3 linked regions of the Rhinolophus ferrumequinum genome follow. The protein of the gene in region 1 purifies or fractionates together with the protein of each later gene. This does not show direct contact. Links are inferred from orthologs where the notes say so. Each region holds a gene or a part of one and is shown in the gene's direction. Other genes may lie near its edges.

What was found.
Region 2: the proteins of MET (region 1) and GAB1 purify together in Homo sapiens (affinity purification with western blotting; 3 studies listed by BioGRID and IntAct, with this or other methods). This does not show direct contact. The link is inferred for Rhinolophus ferrumequinum from reciprocal best matches to the Homo sapiens genes MET and GAB1.
Region 3: the proteins of MET (region 1) and PLXNB1 purify together in Homo sapiens (co-immunoprecipitation; 3 studies listed by IntAct). This does not show direct contact. The link is inferred for Rhinolophus ferrumequinum from reciprocal best matches to the Homo sapiens genes MET and PLXNB1.

What each region holds. Positions count from the first base shown.
Region 1 is NC_046309.1:26,253,491-26,263,885, reverse strand, and holds the start of MET (hepatocyte growth factor receptor), read left to right. Parts: upstream 1-6,263; 5' UTR 6,264-6,686; intron 6,687-10,395. UniProt on the Homo sapiens protein: Receptor tyrosine kinase that transduces signals from the extracellular matrix into the cytoplasm by binding to hepatocyte growth factor/HGF ligand. Regulates many physiological processes including proliferation, scattering, morphogenesis and survival.
Region 2 is NC_046301.1:17,749,436-17,759,579, forward strand, and holds the start of GAB1 (GRB2-associated-binding protein 1), read left to right. Parts: upstream 1-5,170; 5' UTR 5,171-5,987; coding exon 5,988-6,059; intron 6,060-10,144. UniProt on the Homo sapiens protein: Adapter protein that plays a role in intracellular signaling cascades triggered by activated receptor-type kinases. Plays a role in FGFR1 signaling. Probably involved in signaling by the epidermal growth factor receptor (EGFR) and the insulin receptor (INSR).
Region 3 is NC_046300.1:7,651,839-7,661,935, forward strand, and holds the start of PLXNB1 (plexin-B1), read left to right. Parts: upstream 1-5,886; 5' UTR 5,887-6,015; intron 6,016-6,157; exon of another isoform or gene 6,158-6,259; intron 6,260-6,425; exon of another isoform or gene 6,426-6,470; intron 6,471-6,751; exon of another isoform or gene 6,752-6,991; intron 6,992-10,097. Other genes in the region: CCDC51 (mitochondrial potassium channel), read left to right, coding at 982-1,401, 2,332-2,496, 3,003-3,758. UniProt on the Homo sapiens protein: Receptor for SEMA4D. Plays a role in GABAergic synapse development. Mediates SEMA4A- and SEMA4D-dependent inhibitory synapse development. Plays a role in RHOA activation and subsequent changes of the actin cytoskeleton.

The sequences.
Region 1 (10,395 bases):
TTTCATTGGCAAACCAAGGTTAATCCAGAGTGATTGCCATTTCTTCTGTGTGTTTTGAATCCACATTAATAGTAATTATGTTTAGACTCTGAGGTTGTTAAACAAAAGGTCAAAATCTGGCCAGTGCAAAGGCGTTGGAACCACCTTTATTATACTTCAGTACACATTAGCCATGTGTAATAGTTACAGTGATTCTAATCACACCTTTCATTCCATCATTTTTTCAATGCCACTAAGACCCATATATTACCTCTTTAACTGTGAAATATTGTAGCCATTTCTAAATTGCCTAATTTACTTTTGGACTCACCAAGTATACTATCCCTAAGTTGATTATTAAACGAATCAATGATTGGAATAGAAAAAAGAATTTTATCCTATTTGGATAAGGCAATAGTAATAAGAACCACACCCGGGAGTACTTTCTTTCTAATACAATGTCTCCTTATATACAATACAATTAGTAAATTGTTTGATGTATTTGCTTCGAAAGGACTGGTTTCAGTAAAATTTTAGTTGATACTTAATTTTTTAAATCATTTTCATCAGACTTTGGAACTGTTTTTATAGCTGAAGAAACTGATCCACGGGGGTTAAGTGCCAAAGCACTGATTAAGTTAGTGGTAAAATTTAGGATTGCAGTAATTACACACACACACACACACACACACACTCGTTTTTAAAGGGTTAATCATAAAGAAACGCTGTTCAATGAAGGACACGTTTATTTTTGTTAGTGCATTATTTCCCAGATAGGCTAATCCACTTGTATTAGTGCCAAACAGTTTAAATGAACAGATGGAATGGATATACTAGTTGGGAAATAATGCTATACTATGTTGTATAAAAATGAAAGATTTTTCCCATTTTCTTTCCCAAAATGCTTTTACAATTTACCACAAGGTAAAAGACAGAAAAGGAAAAGACAAGAACAGAAAACAAAAGGAAAAGAAATGAACATGGCTTCATGAAGTATTGATAGGAGAATTACGAGGGCAGCCTTTCTGGACGTTGTTGCCTTTATTTCAGAGACTCCAAAAGACCGTCTCTTAACGACTCCAGGCTTCATTACCTGGGCCTTCCCTTTCTCTCTCACCTTCCCTAAGTCCCAATGAAGAGCTCAGGGGTTGTGAAAACACAGACAATGGGGAAAGAACATTCCAGTTCCTTTCCACGTGGGGGACGTTGTGGTCATACTCACCTACAGCCCACCCCCAGGACACTCAGACTGCTTGGGACCCGTGTTCCAAAATGCACAGTGCTTTACAGATGGGCAACAAAGGTTTATTCTGCACTGCAACAACCAGTCCCCAAGGCAAACAAACAGAGGTGCCATGCCTTAAGTGGCAGAGAAGAAGGGAAAACAAGAAGGCTTAAGTGCTACTGGTCTCTGTTAAATGACTGCACGGCTCACCAGAGCAGGAGGACCAGTTAGTAAACAGTTGCCAAGGGAAGCGGAGTTTTGGAAAGAGCCAGACTGAGGCCAGCTGTTGTGACCTTGGATGAATCACATGATCTCTCTGAGCCTCCTTTCCCTGGATGTAAACTAGAGCATGATACCTTCCTGGAGTTTGTTATGAGGACATAAGTAGGATTCAAACACATGACTGATCCATGGTAGACATTTAATAAATGGGAGCTAAATACATTATACCTTCATTATACCGTGTGTTTTATAAGAGAGGTATAAGCTGAATGTGAAAATGAACCAAATCACTAACAAAATCGCTGCACCCTGTTGGAGATGGTAATTTATTTTTAATTTTCCTGCATCCAGTTTCCTAGGCTTCCTGAGTAAAATTGGGACACTTGTAGCTTCAAGAGCATAGCCGTCTTTTACTTGTCCAAGATATCAAATAAGCTTAGTCATATTTTTAGATAACTTAATGTTGCATATTTTATTTTTAGATAACCCAGCCACAACCAAATGACCAATATAAATCAACATAAAAGCAGTTCATATGGAAATTGCCCTGTTCTAACCCTTTATGGCTGGCATTTCCATTCTTTAAGGCGAGGTTTCCCAAAGTATGTTACCTATTAAACTAATTTTAAGGAAAATTGCTACTGAAACTGTTAAGACGGAAAAAAAAAGCGTGTCTTTTGTTGTTGTTGTTCTGTTTTTCCCTGTGTATTTTCAGAATCTTCAATATTCTGATGCAGATAATGTATCTCTAAAAGGTAAAAAGATTCCTACATCCCCAAAATGTATTTGCCCACAGAAATTACTTGAGGAACCATCACCTGAATTACTCTTCTTGTCCTTTTGTGGCGACATTTTCCATAAGCAGAGTAATAGGGGTAACGGGGAGAGTTGGGGAGAGGGAAGAACAGAGAGAGAGAATCCAAGAATAAATACTCTAAGACAGGTGTCACAAATCCTAATGCTTACAAGTCCTGTAGGATAAGGTGACATCAAGATCATTGGGATGCTGGATGCATTACAAGAGAAGATGGTAGGACAACAGCAAACTGCAGAACACAGGTTCTGGCCACAGTGATTCCAGCTTTTAAAAAACACTGTGGGCCCGTGTGTTTCTGTGGCCCTGCCTTCCACAGGTTGCCAGGTTAAGCCCCTGTTCTAAGACAGCTTTCACTTTTGTTTCAAAAACAGCACCATGTGAATGAACTTAAAGAAAGAGTACCTTCTAAGATGCAAATTTCCATGTGATGAAGGGAGAGCAGAAAGGATGCGGCAAGACACTGCTGTTCCTCTCTACTGACCATGGCTACCACTGGGTCCATCGTAGGGTGAAGAGGTGGGATCCTGTGGATAGTTTGGCACTACTGTGTTTCCCTGAAAATAAGACCGGGTCTTATAGTAATTCTTGCTCCAAAAGACACATTAGGGCTTATGTTCAGGGGATGTCATCCTGAAAAATCATGCTAAGGCTTATTTTCTGGTTAGGTCTTTGTGGGGACAGAGCCCCAGAGAGCAGTTTCCAAGCTCTCGGCCTCACGTGGAGGGGTGCTGGCTCGGGTAGTAGATGGCCGTCAGCTCTGGCTAGTTGGCCGTCAGCTGTAACCCTTGAGCCAATTGGCTGCTGATATAACTGCCGCAGCTACACTGGTTGGTGAGTCTAGTGGAGTCGGTCGGTTGGCAGAAAAGTGGACAGCAGGTCGCACATCGTGTGAATCCAGCCTCCAGTGAGACCATAGTGGTCTGACTCCCCTACCTATGGCTCCGTGGATGTTCCTTTTTGGCTTTACCATATGCTGCGTTCTTATGTGGGGAGCCGGAGCTGAGACCCTGCAGGCCGCCCTGCACGACAGTCTTATTTTCAGGGAAACACAGTATGTTATCCACAAGTATGTGGATAAGGATAGCTCATGCCTTTCGAGCCCTTATATTTTACCAGGGCTCCTTCCACATGCTTTCCTCGTAGCTCCTCATTTCATCCTCACAGTCATCCTATTATTATTCCCATTTTATAGATAAGGCACAGAGAGCTGATGCCACTGGCCTGTAGTTACACAGCTAGCAACCTCAGAACTGGGATTTCAATCCAGGCTGTCTGGCTCTAAAACCCACATTCTTAGCTACAATGCTAAACTCAGTCTTGGAGATATCTTGCTCCCCATTTGAGGGGTATATCAATTTTAAATGTTTTTTGGACACAGGTGACAGAAACCCCAGCTAACAGTGTCTCGAACAAGTATTTTTCCACAAAGCAAGAAATCTGGAAGTACTGGCGCTGTAGCTCAGCAATGTCAGACCCAACTTCTCTCCTCATTCACAAAATTGCTAGCTCTCTGCTGGACGTTACATATGAAATCAAGAAAGCAAGAAGTGAGAAGGGCTGGCAGCAGCGTATTAGGTCCTTTTCATCAGGACACCACACTCTTTCATAGATGTGCTCGACAGATCTCAGCTTAACCTCACTGCCAGAATGACATCACGTGGCCTTGTTTGGCTACAAAGGAGTCTGGGAAAGTCAGCTTTCTGTTTTCCAGCTCCAGAAGTGGAGACAGGCAAGGGAGTATCTGGTTTGGGAACAGGTGTTGGCTTAGCCAACCACAGGGGTTTGGTTTGGTTAGGGAAATGCCAACAGAACTTCATCATACAGTGTGTCACCCATGTCATGGACACACTGTATCATGAAAAGTGAAACAGCAACAATTGAAGTTTGCCACAAAACCAAAACTGAATGGTAGAACTCCTGTTGCCTTTTTAAAAGATCTGCTTGTATCCATTTCCAAATATTTGAAATTACTTTTACCCCTTTCCTGATCAAACCTATCTAGGTGTTGTTTAAACTTAATTATTCGATTTTTCACACACAGAGAGATTCTTAGTTATGCTCTTCTTAGTTATTTTTATAAAATGTTATCTCCTTATTTATGGTTAATAAATCAAAATGACGATTTTTATACCGTTTCAAAACTGGATTGAAACTTGTCAATAACTAGAAACTAGGAAACTTCAGTGCTGAAAATATATGTTATTTGAGTTTATAATCTATTTTATTTTCCAGTTTGCAATGGTTTGTCTAGGTCTTTCTACCACTTTAGTTGTAATTTTTTTCTTTTATATTTTTATCATGGCAGACAAACTCAGAAAACCTGTTAAGGCAACTACATAATACAATCTAAAATCCAGTTAACATATTGCTATGGAAACCAGGAAATAGAAACAGCACTCTAATCATTCCTTTGGACAACTATGGCTAATTATTCGTGTGTGTGTGTGTGTGTGTGTGTGTGTGTGTGTGTGTCTGAAATAATTCGTCAGTTTATTCACCTTTTATTGAAAGTTCATACTGAACCCCAAATCTATAATTGATTTGTCCATACCAGACTCAATGTCCTCCAGTCACTAAATCAGCATTTTGATATAAACCATAGTCATTGTTAAATTATGCCATGTGATATCAGCAAATGTTGGGTAGGACTGCATTGTTTATTTAGCCCTGCCAGGCTGAGGCCTCTTGCAGTATGAAGAACCCTTGACTGGAATTGAGGGCTGGGTTCTAACCTGTCTTCTCATACTAACCAGCTGTGTGACCCTGTTAGGACTCTTAGGCAATCAGTTTCCTCATTTGCAAAATGTTTCAATGCAGGGCTCTACTGTTATGTAACGGGAACATCCCTTTTCCATAAAATTAAGGAATCATGAGGTAATCACTTTTTAGGATTGAAACTGCAGTGTGCAGTCCCTGGTAAAGGGGCACATCATAAGCTCTCAGGAAAACGCTAACTGTTCTTACTATATTTTTCTATTTTTCATTCTGTAGGTAAATAATTCCTGAACCTGCATAGTAAGTTGTAAATTGTCCCATGACTTCAATAACTAACCGATGCCATTATCCCAACAAGCCTGTAGGAGTCAGAAAGGAGGACACTGCTGCTCAGGTCTCTTTAACTTTGAGTATTTATTTTCTTTTGAAGGGTAATGTCAATTTTTACATTAAGACATGTGAGATATAAAAAGTTATCCTAAAACAATTGATACTAACACAACTCACCAAGCCCTCAAATCTTTTTTTAATCATAAGATTTCAACACTCAAGAATTAAACTTTTGTTCTGTTTTGCTTGTTCATTGATGTTTGCCTAGTTATTTAATCAGCCTGTTTCCTGCTGTGGGGGAAAAAAAAAGAAAAAAGAAAGAAAAAAACCTTAAAGAAACTGAGGTTTCCTCGGGGTTACACTCCTGCATTGTTCTTCCTTCCAGAAATCCGAGTTATTATAGTAGGGGATAATCGCTGCCTAATGAGATCATTGGGACAATTCTTCTCTCCACTCTGACCTCCGTCTCTGACAATGAATTCCTTGTTTCCGTGGTGCCCAAACCTTTCCCTACCCGGGTCAGTGCCCGGTGGTTAACCGGGACGCGGGACGGGCAGAGCCTCGCGCGCTTCCCGCGGGTGGCGCGGAGTGTGGGCGCGGGGGTCCGTGCGCGCGGGCGACGCTCGCCCCGCGAGCACCAGGAGGGGGAGACGCGGTGCCGCTTATCTGCCGCTGTGCGAACTTCTAACTGCCCGCGCTGGGGGAGGAGAGCGCGGCCAGGGCGAGAAAACTTCTCCACCTAGAAAGTTTCACCTTGTCGTGGGCGGGGGAGGGCTGGGAGGAAACGCGACCCCCGTGGGGCCAGGCGCGGCGCGCGGCGGCAGGAAGGGCGGGGGCGATTTCCCCCTGTGGGTGGTGCCAGTCCTCACCTCAGCGGTCTTTGAACCCGCGGACTAGGCGGACGGACAGAGCGCCAGACAGACGGACACGTGCTGGGGCGGGCGGGAGGCCGAGCGCCTGGGTCGGGTGGCAGGGCCGTGCCTCCCGCCTGGACGTGCCCGGGCCTCCGCGGGCGGTGCGCGCGCCCATTCCCGGCTGAGTCACGGACGGTCGGGCGCGGGTGGGAAGAGGCGGAGGGAGCGCCGCCGGGAGCGCCGCTCGCGGGCCGGGCCGCAGGTGACCCGAGGCTCTGGCCGAGCGCTTTGTGACCAGATGCGGAGCCCAGCGGAGGGCGCGAGCCAGATGCGGGACGACAGCTGACTCGCTGCGAGGAGGCGGCGGGGAGGCACGGAGTGCGCGGGTGGTCCCTGGCCACGGACTTCTCGGCCGCGGGTTCCCGGGCCCCGCAAGGTAAACTACACCCTCTTCCGATCCCGCACTCCACCCCTCGCGCTTCTGCTCTCTTTGTTCCCGTAAGAGACCTGACTGCTGTTGCGTGCGGAAGACGAGACCAGAGAGGTAGGCGAGAGTTCAGAGGCTCCAGAAACTCAAGGGATGTGGTCTGGGGGAGGTCGAAACTGGAATGGGGCTATTCGTTTTAGGGGGTCGCTTCTGCCGGCCACCTGTATGACTCAGGAGAGAGGAGCGCTGGGGAGGGGGTGATATATGACTGTTTATGGCCAGGCCAGTTTCAAGACTGCAATCTGACTCATCCCTTAAGAGAGGGACCTGGTCACCCTGTCCCACGGTGATGCAGCTGGCAAGGTTGAAAGCCAGAGGTTTCCTTATCCCCAGCCCTGCTTTATCTGTATTAGTGGGAGTCCTTCCAAGGGACAGGTGTTTCTGTGAAGGTCTGAATTGTTCATGTCTGGCAAATACACAGGACTTGTGATCCATCATTTTCAATTGTACCTTAGCTCTTTGCTGGAGCTCTGGGGAGGGCATATATCTTATTAGGCGAAATAGGTTATAACCAGAGGTCGGTAGTCTGGCCAGTACTGTTACTGACCCAATCATAAAAGCACTAATGAAAGTAATCTTACTGACTATTGCCAATGCAGAATTTACTCCAGAGTACGGTTTCCCATTTCATACCTTTCATGTTTTAAAAGAGCCATTTACAGATTTGGCAGTTGAAGAGGGTTCCAGTGGTTCATGCATGAATAGTTGCCCAATGTATTTTTTCTTATCACAGTTTTATGTTCAAAGGAGCCCTGGGGTAGAATGAAATATTGTCAACTCTCTTAGGCAAAATAATCAGCATACTTTAATTGCCAAGTTAAGATGGTCGACGAATATAGGAGGATTGTAAAAACGGACATTGGAGAGAGTGTAGACTATCTGGACCGTCTCCTGAATTTTAAGAAGACTGTTCACATTTTGTAGAGTTGGATGGAGGTTTATTCTCTTGTTTCCATCAGCCAGACACATGTATATTGCCATGCAAATGGATTCAGAAAAACATTATTCTCCTTTACAGCTAAACTATTATAGCTGACTAATGATTTTTTTCTGCATGAAGATGATCTGAGAATGATGTACATTGTGTTTCTCTGTGCTACTGGGGCATAAATTGTGCTTTTATGTAAAGTGTAAGTGGTGCCTGGATTATTTACAGGTACATAGGTTTCTTTACTGTCTAGCTCTAAGCTTATTAGACTTTGTTTTAACATGTAAACTTCCGTAATGGAACAAAAGTGAGGTGCTTTGGTTCCAGTTAATTCTGTGGTGTATTCAGTGTTCACTCTTTCTGAACTGCTGAATAACACAGGTAAAATTTACATCACTTATAAGGAATTTCTGTAGTACAAAAATGTGTCTGATTGCCTACAAAATATACTGGTGTTTTTAAAAATCTGTTCAGGTTTCACACTTATCAGTGCATAAGACTACAGTTATTAACCTAAATACATTTTTATTTTAACATAATGGAATTTATGGCATATAGAAGATGGTCTGCTGACTACAGCTTTTTCAAAGATTGCTTTGTTCTTGATACATCACAATAGGGCTTTACATTAGATGTACACCCCATGCCTTCAGAATTAGTGGATGAGATTTATCTGAATGATAAAGATGTACAATATTAGCCACAGCCCATATGAAAGCTCGTAACTAGTATTTTCATGACTTTTAAATCTACAATAAAAGAAAAGTGACACTTTCCTAAGCAGGAAAAAATACCTTTATCTTACAAATTCATTTTAAGACTATATAAGCATGTGTTCCACTAATAATCTTGATTTTTTTTGGTTTGTTTTAGTGAGGATTAGACTAAGAGACACATTTCAGAAATCAATTTTCTTAGCTGTTAGTAAAACAAAAAAGTCCAAAATAGCATTAGTCTAATTTTCCTTTAACAAATCTGTATAATAACCTCAAATAAACTTTTTCTCAAATGTGGTCATCGCAGACTACAGTGAATTTTCTCAGGACACGCACCTTTCTCTAAGAGGATGCAGCAGCGCCTCTGGTGACGCGCCATGACGAGTACCCAGCTCCCTACACATGCTGAGCACCTCCCATCTCCCCACCCGCTTCCTGCTCAGCCTTTCCCCTTGGTTTGGTCAGAGCTCCTTCCAAAACCTTTTGTGCCCCCATTTGTCCACTCAGTTCTCATGGTTTCCTCTTCACTGTCATTACACCTAATGACTCTCACCAGAACCATCTATGCTTTCTTTTCCCCGTCATCCCTAATATTTTCCTTGGGTTTCTGTCTTTGTTCATGGGACCCCAAGTTTTCTAACGGTGCTACCTTCAGGGGAAAAAATATGCAGAAATTCAAGTGCCAGGGAGTGCACCTCCCTGGTGTATGTTGAAACTGTTGTCTTTGACTCTGAGCCTTCAGGACAGAATTTTTTCAATGCAAAATAAACAGTCACCTCTTAGTAATAAATGATGTGTATACTGACTCGTGTCAATTCAGCATCACTTTGATTTAACAGACACTGAGTTGCAGCAAGGCCCACATTTCCCTCACCAATAAGAACTGCACATAAGTATCATATGTTTTTGGTATTAGGGAGACATTTTTAAAGAGGAAGAAATGCTGCCCTGGAGGCATTTACGGTCTAGATATACAGATAAATAATACACATATAAAAAGGAAACAAGAACCATAGTTATTAAGGGGATGTCCCACGAGAATGTCATCGTTAGAAATCACCCCATTTGCTATTAAATAGTAGAATTTTTTTCAATCAAAAGATTGAAACTTAAAGACCTCTTAAAATTTTCAAGCTGCTTTTGAGTATGTCATCTTTCAGATGCCACAACAGCCTTACCAGATAGGCAATATCTTAACCTCACATGTGACAGACGACACAAGTGTGTGCTTGAGCCTGGTCCCCATGCTGTCTCAACAGCACCCACAGCCTCTGCCCAGACATCAGGGAAGGTTAACTATTTGAAGCCATTTCCACTGAGAAATAGGTTGGCGTCTTTAGGTTAGTAATAAATGATGAATATACATTTCCAGGCTCTGAGGTTTTTCTCACCTTCTCTTTCTACAGTTCTCTTTTCCTTGTGTTCTCTTTTTGTAGTAAAGCATACCAAGAAAGGCTCCGTTCATATGTGTGGGGCATTCTCCTATTATCAGATTAAGAGTTGTGAGTAATTTTGTGATCTCCCCTTCTATCAGAAATCCCATTCTCAGATCTCTCTTCAGCTCTGTTTAACAGAGTATATTCCCCTTGGGATTTGTTTCAATAAAAACATCCAGTAAAATCTGACTACTTTGCTTTTTAAGGGACAAAATAAAAAAGTGTTTTTATAAGCTGTAAAACATAATTGAGAGAAAAATCATGTGTGTGGCATTTGTAGCAGGAGGTGTAAACACAGTGAAAATTTTTTAAAAAGTTAACTTGCTAATTACATACCCAGGTATACATATTTCTTCTGTGATTGTGTGAATTTGTGCAAATATGTTTATGGAGGATACTCCTGTTGTTTTTAATTTCTGTAATAAATTATGTAGCTAAAAGGCCTATAGAAATTATATAAGAGCTTATGAGCCATATAAATTATATAATGGTCCATAGGATTTGAAAATGTATTTCTCCAAATATAATAAAGGATTATTATGAAATGTGGTCAAAGCAATTATATAATGTGATAAAGAGAATCACGGGTTGTAATGAAAGCTAAGTTCCTGTACTCTAAGACTGTGGTTGAGGGTTTAGTCATTCGGGATAATTTGTTGTGCACCTACCAGGAATAGGCAATGCAG
Region 2 (10,144 bases), on another chromosome or scaffold:
CCAAGGGCCAGTAAAAGAAGAGCCTGCAAAGAAATCTAAGATGGAGCAAGGAAACAGGAAGGTTCAAAACTGCAATATCTCTAAGATCAAGGGTACTGAGAGTTTTAGGAAGGAGTGACTGAGAAATATAAAGACTGAAAATTATTGTTTGATTTAGTGATGTGGGGGTCAGAGTGACCTTTTCAAGTATAAGAGAAATTGGGATGATAGCCAGAAAGAAGCAGTCTGAGGAGTGAAGGAAGATGAGAACTAGGAACAGAAACTATAGCAACACTTAATAGAAATCTGGCTGTGAAAGAAGAGAGAAAAGCTGGTAGCTAAAAAGGAATATAAGATGTAGACGTTTTTTCACATTGTTTTGTTTTAACAGAAAAGAGGTATGTTTAAAATGATACTTTGACAGAAGAAATGTATGTTGAAAATGTATAATTTAACTCAGTTTTAGAGAACTGTAATCTATTATTGCCTACAATAATTTTGTCAAATACAGTGGAACCAACTTTCATTTTAATTTTTCAATTGTTTATGCAGGATAATGCTAATATTAGGGAAGAGTTAAATAATCTGCAACTACATGTTATCAGCAACTTCACATAAGATTCTCTCTCACAATAGCTACTTTAAAGGGCATTATAGTACACTTCCATTTTAAAAAACATGTGTTTGTGTGTGTGTATGTATGAGTCTGTGTGTATGCACACCCAATCATATCATGGTGGTATAAAGCAAAAATTGGCAAACTATGGCCCTTGGCCAAATCTGTCTTGCCACTTGTTTTTGTAAATAAAGTTTTATTTGAACACACACATGCACATAGTGATGGAAAGAATTACATTGAGAATGGAGTATTTAGATATAAAAAGATCATTTACAGGGTGAGGTTCTTGAGACAGTGCAATGGGATGAAATTCAAAGTATAAGTGGAGAGATTGGCCTTTCACAGGCGAAAAGCAATGTCCTTATTTGCCATAGGAAGCGGAAGAGTAAGAGGAGTGAAGATAGTATGTAGGTTTGCATGTTTGATGTTTGATGGCTAGAAGTCAAAGGAGTTTCCATTTGAGCACTTTGGTTTTCTGGGGAAGCTATAAGAAAGATAGTCAGTTGATGGGAAAAGTAGAGGGTTTGAAAATTTGAGAAATCTGAAGAAAGTTTAAGAGTTATTGTAAGCATTATTCATTATAGCCAAAAATTAGAAACAAGCCAAATGCCCATCAACTGATAAATGGGTAAATAAAATGTGTTGTATCCATACAATCGAATATTGTTTAACAATAGAAAATGAAGTACTGATACATGCTACAACCTGCACAAACCTTTAAAACTTATGCTAACTGAAAGAAGCTAGTCACAAAATGTCACAAATTGTATGTTGCCACTTATGTGAAATGTTCAAAAGAGGCAAATCCATAGAAGCAGAAAGATTAGTGGTTCTCAGGGGCTGAGAGGGAAGGGGGAATGAGAATGGAGTTTTTATTTGGGGCAATGAAATATTCTGAAATTAGTGGTGTGGTTGAAGAATTTTATGAACATACTAAAAACCATTGAATTGTACACTTGAAAAAATGTGAATTTTATGGCCTATGAATTATACCTCAATAAAGCTGTTATTTAAAAAGAAAAGTTATTTCAGAGGGTAGACTAGTGAGTGTACTGTCCAAATAAATGAAGTAGGATTGCTGACTAGCAGAGACATCCATGAAGCTAATGAATCTTCAGCTCGGAGCCACTCATTGCACAGGCCCCCAGGAGAATAGGGAGCTGATGGGAAAGGTGCAGTGTGCTGCTTGGGAGGGGAAGCCAGGATGCACTCAGGAAACATATCCATGGGAGGATTCTGGTAAATCATCACAGAGATCTCAAAAGAAATGCATCTGTAGTCCTAGGCTCCAATCATTTGTTATTTATTTTCTCATTCTAAATACACTTTCATCCTAATTTTATATTTGTAATTGTATATTCTTTTCCTTTAAAAGAACTTCCCAAACCGTATAAGCTTCAGGTCCCAGAAGACCAAGATCTGCCTGTGCTGATAGCTGAGGAGCTATTGGAGGTCATTAAATGTGAATTTTTTAGTGGTGTCACTCATGCGTAACTTGCTCCAGCATCACTTGATGCAGGAGAAAGCAGACTGGGGTTCATTCAGAGTTGGGGTTTTGTGAGTTTGGTGTATGTTATTAAAAATATGGACCATAAAATTTAAACTGGATAAGGGGTGAAGAAAGGAGAGGTCTGATGGATCATGAGAAAGCAGAGGTATCAACAGGCTGCAAAAGCTGTTGAGAAGAAAGATTATATTGGAAAAACTTGAAAGATCAAGTTGAAGATATCTGGTTAAAGTGGGATGCTGGAGGTGAATAATAAAGCCCATAGAGGCAATTGTTGGAGGTGATTTGAAGGTCACAGGAAATGACGTGGTCATTTGCTCTAAGGAAAAGTCCAAACTCTGAGATCTCCAGGGGTCTGCACAATCCTTCCCTTGCCTGCCTCTGGAACCTCACCCTCTCACCCAGTGTCCCCTCTCACTCGCCCCACTGCTGCTGTCTTTTAGGTACTCAGGAGCTCCCTCCAGCCTGACTTGTAACCTAGTAGTTTCTCTTTTGTCTAGAACACTCTTCTCCACAACGTGGCCAGGCCAACTTGTACTCATCCTGAGAACCTCAGTTTAAAGTCTTTTCCAAAGGAAGTCTTTCCTAACCTGCTCACTCTCCTTCCATGGAGGGTAGACCCGGTTATACACCCAAATAACACACTCTATTTTTTTTTCTTTCATAACATTTATTAATTGTATTATAGAAGTTATGGGGTTAATTATCTTAAAACCTTTTTTTTCCAGGATAGAGGACTACGGGAACATGTCTGGCTTTCCTCCCTATCGTATCTGTGGTCCTCAGGGACTTATACATACTAGGATATTCCATAAATGTTTGTTGTAGGAATGAAATTTAAAATACTTATGTATAATAGCTTTTTCCAGCATATCTTTTAGATATAAAAGGTAACAGATAATCGAAAAATGGCATATGATGTAAAATAATGCAACTGTCTTGTCTAAAATACATACATGGAGACGTATCTATTGTCAACCTCTCCTCAACCCTTATTTGGTCTCTAGAAATTCTCATCTAAATCAGAGTCAATGATATGGAAAAATATTTAAAGATTTCTTATATAGAAATGAGATAACTGAATCCCTTCTTTGAAATATATATATATATATATATATATATATATATATATTTAATTATTGGAGCTTCCAAAAGCTAAATAGTACAAGATACATTACGATTTTTCTTTCAAAACAACTTTAGAACAGGAGTGGAGACAGTGGTAAATAAAAGCCAACAGTTAACTAAGCAAGGGTGGACCCGTCTTACCAAAGTTAATTATAAATGCTTTTGACTTGGTGTAGACACACTGCCTATGGGAGAAGTGAAAACAAATTCGATGATTTATTTTGGCCTGTGGCAAAATTTGTGTTCACATACCATTTCCCTGAAAATAAGACCTAGCAGACCCAGTCTTATAGTAAAATAAGACCAGATCTTATATTAATTTTTGCTCCAAAAGATACATTAGAGCTGATTGTCCAGCTAGGTCTTATTTTCCGGGAAACACGGTACGTAAAAAGAAATTATTTTGGTTCATTAGCTGCCATAAAAATTACTCACTTGTGTTCTTAAAAAACCCTTACAACAAACATCTTGCTTGTTCTTTCTCTCTCAGTCCTCCTTACGGTTATGCCTTTTATTCTTCCACAAAACGAGTCTAGTTCTCTCTTTACAACGTCTTTCAAATATCGGGCTAAATGCCTCCTCAAGGAATACTTATCTCTTATCCTATCTAACCTAGTTCCATCCCATTGTTCTTTCACCTTATCGGGTTTATTTCCCTCACGGCACAACATTTATCACAATCTGTACTCCATAGACCTTTCACTTTTTTACTCTCCTATGCCACCACGGGAGTGTCACCTCCATGAGTGTAGGAACTTGTGTATATCGCCACCCCAGCACTTAATTTCCTACTATAATTTTACATTTTCAAACTCAGAGGAAGTCCTGAATATGAACGTGTGTAAATAAGAAAACGCCTGAGGTTGTTTCCAGAAATGTTCACTTATCTCCTAATATTTTAGTATTTTTATCTGATTATTTATGTTACCTTCTAAAATTTGTGTTGGGGCTTAGTTTTTCATAAATAAGTTGGAAAAGATATTTCTATTACAGGATCATGTTAATCTCAGGACCAGGTATCATAATTGTAAAACACACACAAGTAGGCAAATAGAACTAGGACATCCAGTAACTTGCCCTTTTCTCGTCCAACATCCCAAAGGGAGACTTTAAACAAATACAAAGTCAAGTGGAAAAAACTGGCAACAAATGGAGGGAGTGTGAGGCTTTACAGTGTCCCAGAGATTGACTCAATCGAATCCTTTGGCCCCTCTAAGAGATCCCACCACTCTGGCAGGGCTGCTCGGGGGACCAGACCACGCTAGCCCGGGTGGGTCCTTCTGTCCTCCCCTTCAGGCAGGTATCTATGGCGCGCTCCCACGCGCCCTCCGCCCTCGGCCCTTCGGTTTCCCAGGCAGGAATCGGCGGGGTCGCTGCCTCCCCAAGGCTCTGCGGTCGCCCTACCGGCTCTTTTACTTTGCAGGCTGTCAAATAGAGAAAACTTCCCGAACTCCAGATCTCATGCAGTAGTACAAACTCCGAACTGACACCCGGGTGAGCCAAGATGGTAAACACTCGAACGTTCCTCACTCTCCCCGCGCCCAAGTCTCAACAGCGATGGCCTTGCCGAGGCTACTCCTCCCGTCCCCAGCACAGAGCGGGCTGGGGGCTCCGGCCGCCACCGCCACTGGGAGGCGGAGGACCCCGCTCCAGCTTCCAGAACTACAGATCCCAGGGTGCCTCTCGGACTCCCGTTCCCTCCCTCTCTCGCTCCCTCCTCCTTTTTTCCCCTCCCCCCTGGCCCTTGTTGTTTTGGCTGGAAGCCCTCGGGCGGAGTTTCAGAGAAAGTCTGGGCAGAAACCGGAGCCGGCCCCAACGTGGGAAGGGGAGGAGAAAAGGGAGGAAGAGGGAGTCGGGAGCGGGAGGGATCGGGGCCGTGGGCCGGGCGGCTCAGAATCTGCCGCTGGCCCCGGGTGGGGGAGGCGGCGCCGAAGGAGCGCAAGGGGACGGGACAGTGGGATCCATCCCCAGAGCCGAGAAGCCGAGCGCCTGGTTCCTCCCCGCTCCCCGCCCTCTTCGGCGGCCGCGAGCGTGAACCCACCCTCCGGCGAAACCTGCTGGGTCCCTAGCGCCTGCCGCCCTGCGCTGCCCAGCGCTTGGCGGCCGACTCAGGACCTACCCTGCGCCCACTGCCCACCGGACCCTCGCAGTTTTCCCTTTCCTCCCCGCTTCCCGGGCGTGCGGGGCAGTGACCCGCCATCCTCCGACGAGGGCGAAGGGGAGGATTGTCCCGGGCGCACCGAAACCGAGAGCGGGCAAGCTGGAGTGGACGCTGCGCGGGGCATTGTGTGTGTGAGTGTGTGTGTGCGCGTGCAGCATAGTGTCTTTCGGAAAGCACTCTGGGGAGGTCCTGTCCCTAGGGGGCGGAGCGCAGGGGACCGAGGCTCCTGCTCCGGGCCGGGGCAGAGTCCCACGGATCCCGATCGCTGCTGAGGAGGCCGCGGGACGGGGCGCCTGGCTGGAAGGCGGACGCCGTGAAGGGAGGCCGGGGCGCCCTCGGTCCGGGGACTGCCCCTGCTCCGAGGTGTCGGCCTCCGCGGCGCAGCCCGTTTCTGTTCAAGTTCGCGGATCTGCGAGAGAGAGCCTCGGACGCGGAGAGCCGGCACTCCTAGTAGCCCGCCCGCTCCGTCGGCCCGAGCTGCGCGACCGGAGAGCGAGGTCCCAGCGTCTGCGCTACCGGCAGGCGTCGACTGTATCGGGATCGCGCCCGCCCGCCCCTCTGCTGCCCGGGCCGGAGCCCGAGAGGCGCGCACCATGAGCGGCGGCGAAGTGGTCTGCTCGGGATGGCTTCGCAAGTCCCCCCCGGAGAAAAAGTTGAAGCGTTATGTAAGTACAGTTTCGGCGGGTGCTCCACGGGCCTCGGTGCCCACACCTCTCTCTGGCAGCTGCAGCTGGCCGCGCGCGGGGCTGGTTGGACCCCATCTCTTTCCCCTCGGCCCCTTTGGGACCGAGTCTGTACACTCATGTTCTGGCCTCCACTTTGACGGGCAACTTTCTTCAGACTCCAGACGCCTGCTTTGCGGGCCTCTTCAGCCCAGAGGAGGGCCCGGCATTTCCAGCTAAACGCCCGCTGCATGTTTTTATTATTCCTTTTAGCAGCGGTGGGGAGAAGAGCATTCTCCTTCCTTTATATCTGCATCTAATCATTATGGGGCTGCTGTGTACTACATTTCTCGCACTAGGAAATTCGCTGAGAATGTAGAACTCACCAGCCCTCTCTTTGGTCCGTACACCCTCTTGCCTTCCCCTGGAGGTAGATTGCGAGAAGCGGGCTGTGGACCTGGATAGTTGGTTTAGAGTTAGACGCAAGCATCTCCAATCCGCGAAAAGAAGAAGAATGAGAAGTTATTACGCGCTCTACCGTTTGCTTTGCAGGGTTCACATTTTCGCGGTTTTGAATCCAGCAACATTGGAGTTTGGCCCTAGAGCCTTAGCAGCTTGCTGCGAGAGGAGGGCGCTGGGGGGAGCCTGGTGGCTGGTGTTTGGGTGCCTTGGACACGCTGTCAAGCCCCGCAGGAGGGGACAGCTGAGGCCAGGAAGGATTTCTGTGGTCCTTTTCCAGGCCACCAGAGTTGCTTAAATGGTATTTGTGTAAGTGGTACAAGATGACGATTATGTGTTAAACCGTTTTAGGTGTTATGGAAAACATTCCTTGAAAGAACCAACCTTACTTTGGTGGAAATCTGTGTCCTCTTCCGGGGACTGGGATTTTATCCTGTTTTCCCCCGTGGGTCCTTTTGTTGCTGCCCCCCTGCTAAGGAAAGAAATGACACTATTGCCCTGGCATATGGAGCAAATTTTTTTTAGTCAAATGTGTTTCAAAAGCAAAATTTAATATATAAATATATATTAAATATATATTAAATATAAATTGACTACCAAGGGACCGACACCGCTAATGGAACCTGTTTCTTGTTGAAGGATATTTAACCCAATATTAGACTGGGGTTAATCCTGTTAGTCACTGTTTGCCAAAGAATGGAGTGAAGTGCAGTATTTAGCTTCACTGAGAATTGACCAGTGAATTTCTGGTTTACTTTCTGCCATAATTGTTATAACAATTCTCATTTAAGGACTTGATGCCACACATCCTAAGAAAGTTTGCCAGAAGTTTTGAATCCTTCCAAATCCTGTCTCTCCACCTATCACAGTTTGCATTACTATCCTGGTAAAAATGCTAATTTTATTTCAAACATTTGGGAGAGGCAGTGGTTTTTTTCAGCTCTTAGTTTTAAACAGAAGGATGTATGTGTGTAAGAAGAGAGAGCAGGGAGTTAGAAAGAGGTATTTGTTTTGAGAAGGCACAGTTTGGGAAAGATGTAAACCTAAATGGTTGGGTTCTTCGGGGAACTAAAGTACAATACATTTGCCGAAATAGGTAGTGGCGATAGAGGTTTAATGTATTCTTTCACATAGTTGGTCTATGGTTCTCTCAAAAGATGCTGTGTACTGGGCTACGAATCATAAGATTAGGAAATACAGTAGGAGAAAAGCCCCATCTCTTGGACTTGCAATTTAATGTAATATAAACCAGAAAGAAAATCGGCCAAAAAATTATCTTAAAAGGGACAAAAGAAAAAAGGAAAGTCTAAATTAAAAAAAAATATTATTTCATTTAATCATCCCAAAGTTTTATGAGGTAGGTATTATCTCTGTTTTTCAGATAAGAAAACAGTCTGCATTACCAGAATGTGCCAGAGGCAGGATTTGAACCCATATCTGCCTGACTGACTGGGCTGTAAGAGGTTAACGAGTCTCATCCAGTTCATTTCAAGTGGAGCTCAGACTAGATCATCTCTAAAGGTCCTCTTAGATTATAACTTTCTAGGAGTCTATGAATATTCAGAATACAAGGAGAAGGTCAGGTGCGGATCAGACGTGCACTGCTAATGACACATGAGACCCTTCAGGCAGCTTTCTGAGTCTTCAAGAAGATGAGACAAGTACAATGTAAAGTGGTTTCTGATTGTGTGCCCACGCTGAATGCTGTGGTTTTATGTTTGTTTTTTAATAGTTGTTTTGAGGAATAAGCTTAGTGTAGTCGGAAAATATAATACTTGAGAGAGACATTAGTCTCCCTAAGTTGTGTTTTCAACAGGGAGAAGAATCTGCCTAACAGCTGGAGGGAGGCTGAGTTTTTCTTGCCCAGCCAAGTATTCGTGTTTTCTTTACACATTAATGAAGTGCATGGGGATAGCCCAGGAAGATAGTGGGCAGCGTGGCTCTCAGGATTGAGGGGTCCAAGAAGGCGACTGGGGGATTACAAGTTAAAATGAGGCTGATCGTATAGTTTCGCTGTCAAGTTGGTTGCCCAGAAGATTTCGAAATTCCCAGATTATTGATCTTGTGGCTTTGGTATACAGTTTAGGTTGCTTTTGCTAAGCCAATTTCAACCCTCAAAGATATAGTCAATGAATTTATGCATTTCCTGTGCTTGAGTTTCTTTTCATGTAAAATCTTGATTTTCTGGATAGAAGGAAACATTGTTAGCCACCCAACAGGCAAAATGTTGCTTGATAATGGTTTTTAATGAATGGATTTGCTGTGAAAAGATACTTGGATTCATGGTACTATAATTGTTAATTGAGACTTCAGAGAATTTGAGCATTGATTCTGTTGGGAAACATTTGGTCCATGGGACTTTGACAGTTGTCTTGCTGTTTACAGTATTTATAGGGTAGTCCAAACATTCATTAAGATGATCCATAAGGGCTTTTAAGTGACAAAAAAAATGTTTTAGTTTTATCTTTAAAGTCATCTCAAGTTATGGCCCCAGTGTGTTCCATTTACAACTCCATTTTATATTTACTGTTTGATAGTCTACTCAGGCAGTGTTGTTTTTGCATACTAGTGTGTTCATCTGATATGGAAGCTTTCCTTGAATTTCCTAAATAGAGTGAAAGTGGCATAAAAGAAAGTGAGAGAAAGACGGCAATGGTTAGCGGATTCCCTAGGCTTTATGTCTCTTCTTCACTTTTTCTATATTTACTTGCAAAAGGGTAAGAAAGTACTTTTTTTTTAATTAAAGTTTATTGGGGTGACAATTGTTAGTAAAGTAACATAGATTTCAGGTGTACAATTCTGTATACCTCATCTATAAATCCCATTGTGTGTTCACCACCCAGAGTCAGTTCTCCTTCCATCACCATATATTTGATCCCCTTTACCCTTCTTTTATGCGTCATCTACCACTTCTTTTATGTGTTTCCTCCTCTGAATTTTTTAAAGTTTACCTAAAATGGAGGTGAACACTTTCATGCTTTCTTTGCATTTTGCTCCTACGGTGTTGCTGGTTTTATCCTGTGTTGTATCTCAAACAGCTGCTTTTTCACTTTTGAGGATCTGAGTGGAATGATATACAGATCACCACCAGTAAGGATACAGGAAACAAGTAAACTCTTGGTAGTGTGCACACAACAGTTGTGCTCAGGTTTTTAAAGCATTATTTAAAGACAAGCTAGCCATTGGAAATAGTGGTGGATTTTTCATCAGGACTTGAAATTTTAGCTGAGATAAAACGCAAGTCTGAAAACAAAGGATTGATTCAAGCCAGCAGGCTGTCACCACGTCTCTGCAGGAGGAACTTCCCCTCTGGCCTGCCTCAAGCGTGGACACCAAGTTTGGGCTCCTCCATGGCCCAGCTGTCAGCATTGGGCAGGTGTGCAATCTCAGCAGGAGAACCTGCTTCTGAGGCCAAAGCAAGGTGGTCTGTTAGCTGCCAGCCGGCCTGGGAGCAAGACCTCAGCCAGTTCTCGGGTGTGTAATCTGCACCCAGCTTGGGATCTGCTCATCAGCTGTCAGTTAAGAGCATGGTTCTTGTCTGGACTTTCAGAACACACCCCCAGTTCTGGAAATGGGCCTATAAACAGAAATAGCCTCTTCCTCTGCGTGAGCACCTGACGTCTTACATG
Region 3 (10,097 bases), on another chromosome or scaffold:
CTCTTGGGCTCCTGCAAGGCCTGACTGGATAATGGGAGACTCCCTGTGCTGTTGAGGTGGAGAAGTAGGCGTTGTTGGGACCCAAACATCAAAGCAAAGTTGAAAAAGGAAAGATTAAAGAAACCTAACCTGTTGAGCAGTGACTAAGATTGAAGAGGAGGGAGAAAGCTTAAGGAAAGTGAGAAATGTGAGTGGCAGTTGGAAAGTCTGGGCTTGCAGGGCAGGTAGAGAAGGGTTAGTATGAACCTCAGAAAAGTTGTCCTCTGTCCCCGAAACCCCGGGAGCCTTTATCAATCTTTGTGAGGCTTTGACAGTATGGGCGCAACTCTGGTTTGAGAATTTTCTTTGACATTATCAGAAACCTGGGCCTCAGAATTCTCATCCGAGTCATAACAGAGACCTGGGGCATGGGGAGAAGGTGGGTGGAATGGGAGGGTCTGGTTCGTGTGGCGTTGTGGAGGAAGGTGGAAGGCGTGATTTCTGACACATGTTCTTTCCTGATGTGTCCCCTGTCCAGGTGCAGCCAGGGGGAAGCCTGGCCACAGTGTCGGCTGTCTCCAGGCGCAGAGTAGCGCTAAGTTTGGATTTTTTATTTTAATTTTATTTTTATTGGGGAATATTGGGGAGCAGTGTGTTTCTCCAGGGCCCATCAGCTCCAAGTCGTTGTCCTTCAATCTAGTTGTGGAAGATGCAGCTCAGCTCCAAGTCCAGTCACCATTTTCAATCTTTAGTTGCAGGGGGCGCAGCCCACCATCCCATGTGGGAATTGAACCTGCAACCTTGTTGTTGAGAGTTCGCACTCTAACCAACTGAGCTATCTGGCCGCCCCTCTGGGAGCTCAGCAGCAGCTCGTTGTCTTCAATCTAGTTGTGGAGGGCGCAGCTCACTGGCCCATGCGGGAATCGAACCAGCAACCCTATTGTTCAGAGCCCGCGCTCTAACCAACTGAGCCATCCGGCCGCCCTAAGTTTGGACTTTTTAATGGAAGTTAAGTCGTTTCAGAACAGCCCCACGGTCTTGAAACCTGACTTATGCCCAGCCTTTCTCAGCCACGAGTTGATCTGCCTGCTGTGCCCCACAGATCTCCCGATGACGGGGTGCAGCCCTGTGTTCGCCATGCAGCACGTCACGGGTGTGCCCCCTGTGCTGGTGCGGAGAGGCCTCCTTGGAAGGGACCATTCTATGACCAGGACTCTCTGCAGCCCGAGCCCCAGCCAGCCGAGAGAGAAAGGCCCTGAGGAGGTGGCCCTTGGGCCATACCGCCGCCTCACAGTGCTGGGAAGAGCCCTGGGCCGTGGCATTCAGCAGCGAGCGTCCTCCACAGCCAAGACTTGGTGGGACAGATATGAAGAGTTTGTCGGACTCAATGAGGTTCGAGAGGCCCAGGGAAACGTGACTGAGGTGAGGAGGGGAGCCTGAGTGGTGGGCCCTGCCCTCTGACGGGAAATACAGCCTGGAGGCTCCTGCCAAGCAGGTCACCAGCCACGTGGCTGAGAAGCTACCCTGATTTGTCTTTTCTTGAACAAATACAATTAGGAGGGGGATTTGACTGTTGCTCACATGACATCCTCCTGGGGTGAAGATCTCTGTGTAACTGTGCCTCCACCCACCCCGAAAACAAGTTGCTGTGTACCAGTGAGTCCCTAGATGTTAGCATCTGTTCTGTCAGGCCAGCAAACACTTCCTTCATTGATGGTTTGGGGGTTGCTGTGTAATTAAAACACCCCTGGTGAAGGCAGAGGCCCTGGGAAATGTCATTCTGTGAGGTTGAAAGAGCTGCCTGTGTTTGTTAAGTCATTTGTGGCAGTGGAAATGCATTCTGCCACCTCTGTTGCCACTCCTGCCGCCTGGGCCAGTGTTGTGAGGTGGGAAGAACCCGGGCTTCAACTGGAAGTTTGGAGGCACAGTGCTGTCTCTCCCCTTGGAGGTCATGACCTTGGTTGAGAGGGGTTCCTGGATCTGCAAAATGGAGGCTGTTGTGAGGTGTAAATTAGGTAACACACGGAAACATCTTTCATAGGTTCCTTCCTGGTGTTTGTGTCAGACTAGAGTTGGCTGGGCTTGGTGGACAAAGACTGTGCATTCCTAGCTGTTTTTGAGGTTCTCAGGGGCATGTTTTTTCAACCTGAATGGATAAATCCGGTGATTCTGATGGGCGTGGCCCAGGGCTGCACTCAGGAGCCCTGGGTGAGCCAGGATTATGTGTCCGAGGGACTGTCTTTCCTCCCTTTGCACCGACACCCCACTGCCCTGTTCTCAGCCACAGCCTCAGAGTGGAGCCCGTGTGGGTATGGAGAGAAGGGGCAGTGGCCTCCGTTGTTCTCTCCACAGGCGGAGAAAGTGTTCATGGTGGCTCGGGGGCTCGTGCGTGAGGCTCAGGAGGACTTGCAAAGGCAGCAGGCCAAGCTGAAGGAGGTGAGGGACCGCTTGGACCGCATCTCCAGAGAGGACAGCCAGTATCTGGAACTGGCTACCCTGGAGCACAGGATGCTGCAGGTAGGTGCCTTGGCAGGCAGCCCTCCGTCACCTGGACAGGGACCCTAGCCTGGCAGGTCGTGGAGGGGCGGGGCGGAAACCCTGACTGTCTGGTGTTCGGAGACCTGGGGAGGAGGTAAACCGGAAGCCCCTATGTAAGGACTGGGCCCCAGGCTTCCAGAGCCCATCCACCCACTTCCTCCTGCCTGGAGGACTGGGGTCCACGGTCCAAGGCAGTATAATTTGGGCCCCAGATTGCTGAGGAGAGAGCACCATGGAGGGGGTGGCCCCAAGAGTGCCAGACACTTCCTGAGATTGCTCAGGTAGAAGCTTAGTGCCGCTCATCTCGACCACCCGATAACCGTCTGCTCGTCCCACCCAGCCAGATTTGTGCCGCCTTCATTCATTAGCATGTAATGTGTGCCCAGCGTGGGGCTGAGCCCCAGGGACACGGTAGTGGGACATCTGCTGGCAGCTGAAGCTGCAGGGTCATACTGCTGCTGTCTCATACCGCTTCGTTTCCGCAGGAGGAGAAGAGGCTTCGCACGGCCTATGTGCGTGCTGAAGACTCTGAGCGAGAGAAGTTCTCCCTCTTCTCTGCGGCCGTGCGGGCAAGTCACGAGAAGGAGCGCACTCGGGCAGAGAGAACCAAGAACTGGTCCCTCATTGGGTCAGTCCTGGGCGCCCTGATTGGTGTGGCTGGTTCCACCTACGTGAACCGTGTGCGGCTACAGGAGCTGAAGACCTTGCTCCTGGAGGCACAGAAGGGGCCTGTGAGCCTCCAGGAGGCCATCCGAGAACAGGCATCCAGCTACTCCCTCCAGCAGAGGGACCTCCATGACCTCATGGCGGACCTACGGGGCCTGGTGCAAGCCGGGCCAGGGCAGAGCTCTGAGTCCCAGGCAGGTACTTCCCCGGCCCGAGACAGAGACACAGATGTCCTTTCAGCTGCCTTGAAAGAGCAGCTCAGCCATTCCAGGCAGGTCCGTTCCTGTCTAGAGGGTTTACGAGAGCAGCTTGACGGCCTGGAAAAGACTTTCAGCCAAGCAGCTGGGGTGGTTCAGCTTGCAAAGGCTGTGGCACATCCAGGCCTGGTGGACCCAGCAGATGGGGCGCTGCCTGGCTCCTTGCTGGAGCAGGAGGGCGTGATCTTGGCGCTGTCGGACATGGAGCAGAGGCTAGAAGCCCAGGTCAACAGGAACACCATCTACAGCACGCTGGTCACCTGTGTGACAATTGCAGCCACCATGCCTGTGCTCTACATGCTTTTTAGGGCCAGCTAGCACCTGGACCCTCCTCCAGAGGGCCTGAGGGATGGGTGTGGATGCGGATTTAGTTAGAGAATCCCAGCAGTGAAGTGAGCCTTTGGGGTACACACAACCTCAGCCGGAGTCTGAGTACCATCTCTGTGGCTCACTAGCAGGCACACTTGGCTTTTTAGGCAATGCTCATTTACAGTAATTATGAAAATTTTGTGCTAGTGTCCAATTAAAATGTCTTTGAATTTGTATTATTTAAAGTAATTTATATCGGACTGAGTTTTGTCTGTTGAAAATTGAGATTTGGGACGTGAGGGTTGGGCCTGGTATTACCGTAATCACCCCATTTAGTTCCTCTCTCATCTCCATTGGTCTTGTCCTTGGTGCAGGACCATTTTGGATACACTTACCCTTGAGGCCTGGATTTTCATTTTGGATTTTCTGGCCTGCCGTCCGCTTGCCCAACCCTCCTGTGTCAGGTGGCCTGGGCGTTCCCGTGAGTGGAACCTAGCCTGCTTCCCACTCATTGGTGACCATGGTTACTGCCCCTCTTCTGGATCACTTTCTCTGCCATGGTGGGAAGAACCTCCTGGATCTAATGCTGGAGCAATGATCAGGGGAGAGCAGGGAAGAGGGGCTGGGGGAAGGGTTGATAAATATTGCTGGGGACATAATTACCGGGATTGGTGGCCAATCTGGGTCCCTGGTGCAGAGAGCTTTGGGCAGTACTAGTGTGCCACTAGAGCTGGGTATCCTCCCACACACAGCCCAGGGATGGCAGAGCTCAGCCCATCAGCAGTGTGAACGGAGAGGCAGTGATGGGGAGAGGCCTCCCAGAGGTGGGAGGTGCAGTGGGGGGCATGGAGGCAGACTGCCCTGAGAACCACTGACCTCTGCCTTTGCAGAGGGAAAGGGCAAACTTTGACCTCCCCGGCTAAATGGCCACCGTGGCCTTGTGTATCCTTGAGTAAACAGGAGCAGTGGGGAGGCACTCTGTACTCCCACCGGCGTGTTGGAGGACCTGTGGGCCTCGAGAACCTTTCAGAGAACCAAGTTGCTACACAGGGTCTGCAGGTAGGGACTTCTGCAGGCTGGCTCAGCAGAGGCCTTCGGAGCCAGAAGTGTTTCCCATGAGGTGCCCTCCCTTTTTGGAGCCTGTGCTCAGGCCTGGGCAGTGAGCATGGCCCAAGTGGCCCCATATGTGCTATGAACCTCTGAGCACCTGGTCCCTTGGTCATTGGGTCACTTCATCCTTGGCACTGTTTTCTTTGTAATGGTTCGCCAGGATGGCACGGGATGACATGACCTCTGCACTTGGGACACTCCCCTTCCAATGGGGTGGAGATGCCATATCAGATGAGGGGCACCATGGGATTTGGAAGTCCCAGGTCCCCCTCTGGATGATGTAGGTCCTAAAGGGTGTGCACTTGAGTGAATGGATTTAGGGAGGGGAGGATTCCAGCCACGTGGAAAGGGCTCCCCACAAGCATCACAGGCAGGAAAGCCTGTGAGCCACTTGGGCCGACTGACCTGGCTGAGATGGTGATGGGTACAGGAGTGGAGTGTAAGACCTGGGGTGCCAGATTGGCAGGACCTGAGGTCTACCGTCAGAGGCCAGGGATGAGGGAACTGGGGAGAGGGTGCCATGCTGGTGCAGACCAGGTACTGAGTGCCTGGCCCCAGGTGCTGGAAGGGGTGGAGGAAAGGGAGTGACCTGCGGAGTTGAGGAGGGAGAATTAGGAAGGCAGCATGAGGTAGATGAGAGGGAAGGCAGACTCTTGATGGAGGGGGGAGGTGGGAAGAGGGTGCCTGTGTATTAGCTTTTTGTACAGTAGCAAGTATGGATGACCTGAACTTTGTGGGTGAGACCCCTCCCAGTCTGGGGAGGCTCTGGGATCTTCCAGGGTGATGTGTATGTGACAAATTTTTTCTCCCAGGGAGCCATCCCAGTGGCCTTAAGCCAAAGTCCTCCAAAAGTCCTAATAGGATGGGCCAGGTCTTGGCTCCAGAGTTTGCAACCGGCAGGCCAAGGTGAGAAGGGCCCAGCAGGGGGCACAAACGGGCCTCTGGAGAGAACCCTTGGGCTCAGCGGTTCCTCCCTCCTAATGCCCAGGTATTCGTCAGTGAGGGAGTCTGGACTTGCCCAAGCTTCTCTCTTTGGGGTGGATCCAGGTACAGGCCTGGGAGAAACGAAGGAAATGCGCCCTTGCTTGTGCACTTTTACAGCCGATGAGCCCTCCTGTAACAGCCAGGCTAGGTGTGGTATCACCTCCACTTGCCGGTGAGCAAACAGGCTTGTGGATATAGTCGGGGGCGGGGGTCAGGTTACTTGGCTTAGTGATGGCGCAAACCCAGGCCCAACCCCAAAAGCTGCGCTCTTCCCGCACAGCCAGAGGTGGGGGCCGGAAGGAGGGGTTGGCTGTTTGGGAGTCCAGGGAGTAGGGGCAGTGGGCAGGACCCGGGGCAGTGGGAGAAACAAGGCGCCTAGGTAAAGAAAGTTGGAGGAGGCTGACTACGGGAGCCAGGTATGGAAAGAGGAAGCTCGGGGCACTGCAGGGCAGACGTGGTGCCCAGCTAACAGGCGGGGCAGGTGAGGGGCGTGGGTCCCACCCGGCGCTGGCGGGCAGGAATAGGACCGCGCGCTGTACCACCACACCTGGGGGTGCGGAACGCGACCCTCATCCCCGCCCCTCCAGTCCTGGAAGTGCTCCCAATTCCAGTTCCAGCGCAGCACAGGTAAAGCCCGGCAGGGACGGGGCGGGGTGGGGCTGCCGCGCTCCACTACTCTCCCCGCCACCGCCCGCTGCGATCCGCGTTGCCATGGCTACCGCCCGGGTGCCTGCCCCCCACAGGGGAGGGGTCAAGTCCCCCGCCCTCTGCAAATTCAGAGCCGGCTGGGTTGGAATGCGGGGTCCCGGGCGGCTCGGGGCGCGCGCCCGGCTCTCCCGGCTGCTTCCGGCCTGGCCTGGGCGGCGGGCGGGGGGAGGGCGGCCCGGCGGGCGCGGGGGGAAGGAGCGGAGCGGGCCCGGACGACGCGGCTTTGTCTCCTTTGTTCCGGGCGGTGGCAGCGCCGCGGCGGGAGGGGCGGGCAGCGGGCGCAGTTTTCCGCCCCTCGGTCTCCGGGTAACAGCTGCGGCTCCGTCAGACCCACCTCCGGGGGGGGGGGCCGGGCAGCGAAGTCGCCGCGCGCAGATTCCCGAGCCCGGAGCGGCTGGCGCCCGCCTCGGCGCACTAGTCCCGCGGGGCCCAGCCGGGTGGTGAGTGCGGGGACCCGGGCCGGGGCGGTGGGGACCCGGCACGGCGGCGCACCCCGGGGTGAAGGGCCCGAGGCTTCGATCCCGCGGGGCAGGGATAGCCCGGGTGAGTAGTGGGCGGCTTCGGTCCTAAGAGTTGGGACCACACTTCTTCGCGCGAAGGGAAACTCTGGCGGCTCCGCCTGTAACGCGATTGGGAGACAGAGGAGGTGGAGCTGCTCCTCCGCGCCCCCTCCTCGCCGCCGCCTCAGCTGGAACCGGCCGGCCCCTTCCCCGCCCTCCCAGGACCACTGGTGGGGTCCTTGCCCCGCGGTCCGAAGAAGAGGGAGGAGGGTCGGGGAGAGCCGATGGGAAGCCGAGGCTTCCCCTCTTGTAGTAGCAGCCCTACCAGGCTGCGCTCAAGGCGGACTGTGAGCCTCCTGCCACGCACCCCCAGAGGGGGACCCCCCCTTCTCGGTACACTGACGGTCCTTGAGTCCTCGCGGGTGCAGGGTAAATGGTGGATCCTCCCACCCCACGTCAACACACAGACAACAGGGCGAGCAGTGTGCGCTCCAGCACGGTCAATGAGTAACTCTTCTGGCTGGACCCTGGGAGCCCAGCAGGATCGCCGAAAGGAAAGGCCAGTTTCTCACTGATCCCTGGGACTCGGGACTCGCGACACGGAAATGACGGCTGCTTATGATGTGGAAGGGCAGAGTCTGTGAGCCCCTTTGGTTGGTGAGGACAGCCTCCCGAGGGCCCAGGTGGTGCTGGCTCTTTGCAGACAGAAGTTAGGCCGCCTTGGGCCCTGCTGAAGAGATCCACAGAAAGGTGGGCCAGAAGAGACCTCAGCACAGGCCTGGGCACAGGCAGAGAGGCTGTGGCTGTGAGTGTGGACGGGGCCTGAGATCTGCCGAGTGAGCAGGAGATCCTAGCTGTGCAAGTTGGGCACGTGAGGCCTGGCTCCAAACCATCCTTTTCAGTCTTCTCTGGCCCGATCATTAACAAAAGTGGGGCTCACACCTTGTCCTCGGAGAGACCAAGTAGCTTAGAAAACCCCGTATCTCCCCTATTGGCTAGGTTTCCTTGGCTATGAAAAGGGGGTTCTTTCAAAATACCAGGAGCACCTGCTCTGTGTTAACCTGTTCTGAGTTGCTGGGGCCTCTGGATCAAAAGCCACATGCCCTGCCTTCAAGCAACTTCAAGTCCAGAGTGGAAGGGTGGAACGGGCAAAAGTGCCCTTGGTTGGTGCCACTAATGCCAGGCACACACCGTATCATGTTTAGCGGTCAGAGCACGCAGTACTGCCTTCTGTTCTGCAAATGGGGACTCTGAGGCTCACAGAGCCCAAGGCAGAGCTGCAGTGAACTCAGCACCCACCGGATGGGCTCCGCAGCAGCCCAGAAGGCTCCCTGGGACATGATGGCGGGGAGTCAAGTTAATGGGACAGACAGGGAGTGGGCATTCCAGGCAGTGGGAAGAGCCTGTAGTTCAGGCCGGCAGGAATGAGGAGCACGTGTGGGGGATGGATGGGGCATGGATTGGATGGAAGAGGGTGGGCATTGGAGAGGTTTGACCTTTGTCACAGGCTCTAGGGTGCCCCAAAGACTCGGGGGAGGGATGTGCTTGGATTCCCGTGAAGTGGGAGGGCCTGGGGGCTGCTCTGTGGCCTGTGGCAGAGGTTAAATGAAATAGGAGTGCCCAAAAGGGAGGAGAAATTGTCACTATCTTTCTTTTCCTCCTCCCCTACTGGAGGTATGTGGGGAAGGGCAAGGGGTGCCAGGCCGTGTTCAGAGATAGAAGAAGCCTGCCATTTTTCCCAGGGTGGGTCAGCCTCCAGTCTCCTCTGGCCTGGCCAGGAGTTGTTCTGATCCCGCCCATCTTCCTGTGGGCCACCCAGTTGTGATTTTACATTTGGGAGTGTCTTGGTTGCTTCCCCTTGAGGGGTAGAGAACCTTGGCACATAGTAGGCTCTGAGCAAATGTTTGCAAATGAATAAAGGAGTGAGTGTTGGTCCAAGTATGGGCCGTCTGCCCCAGGCGCATCCCTGAGCAGGAGGTGGCCTCTGCCAGTCCCCAGGCAGACCCTGCCTTCCAAGAGGAGGAAACTTTCTTCTCTCACCCCTGGAAACAAGGTGGGGGGCTCCTGGGAAGCCTGGCTTTGCCACAGTCCTGGGCTTCTCGCCGGGTTCACAACTCTCCTTGCCGCCCCCTTCCCCACCCCCTTGGGCGGTGAACAGAGGCGGCCTTGTTCTTGCTCCCATAGAGCTGTCCTGTTCTCTGCACACTAAAAATGGAAACCCCCAAGCTATTTCGGGAGCAGTGCCCAGCCGAGCTGTGGCCACGGCTCCCCTGCTCCCGCCGGGCTGCTGGCCTCTTCTCCGATCCTTGTGCCTTGCGCCTAGCTCCGCTCACTCTGGGGCAGCCCCAGGGACGCCCCGTGGGGTCCTGGGCTGGGAGGAGCTGACCTGGGCTGAGGGAAGCTCTCCTACAGGCAGACCGGCAGCTGGATGGATGGCGGGAGGGGCTGGGAAACGTGGCCTGGGCACAGGCTAGTAAGGGAAGTGTTTCCCGGCCTGTAATGTATAGCCTGTCTGAGCACTTCACCAACCCCTGGTGCTCCTGGCTGGGGACCACCCGGGGCTGGGGAAGATGGTGTTGTCATGGTTTCTTGGTTCCAGCAGGCCTTAGCTGGGGCCTACAAGGAGGAGTCTGTTAAGAGAGCAGGCACCCAAGTTCTGGGCGCTCAGCTGGGCATGATGGTGACTTCTTTTAGGACGGCGCCCCCCCCCCTCGCCCCCCCACAGGGCCCTGGCTCTGTTCTGACCTTCAGGGGAGGAAATAGCAAGAGATGGCCTGGCTTCCACAGCCCTCTAGGACAGGGCTTGAACCAGGGAAGTGTGCGTGGATCTATATGTGTGGGTGTCTGAATATGGTGGTGATGTGTATGTCTTTGGTAGGTGGGTGTGACATGTGCCTGTGCAAAGTGCATGTTTGTGTGATTTGTGTGTTTTTGTGTCTAAGGAGGTTGTCGCTATGTGGATGTGTCTTTGTGCAGATGTGTAAGCATCGTGTGTCTCTCTGTGTTTCTGTGTCCAGATTGTATCTGCACACCTGTGTGTATGTAA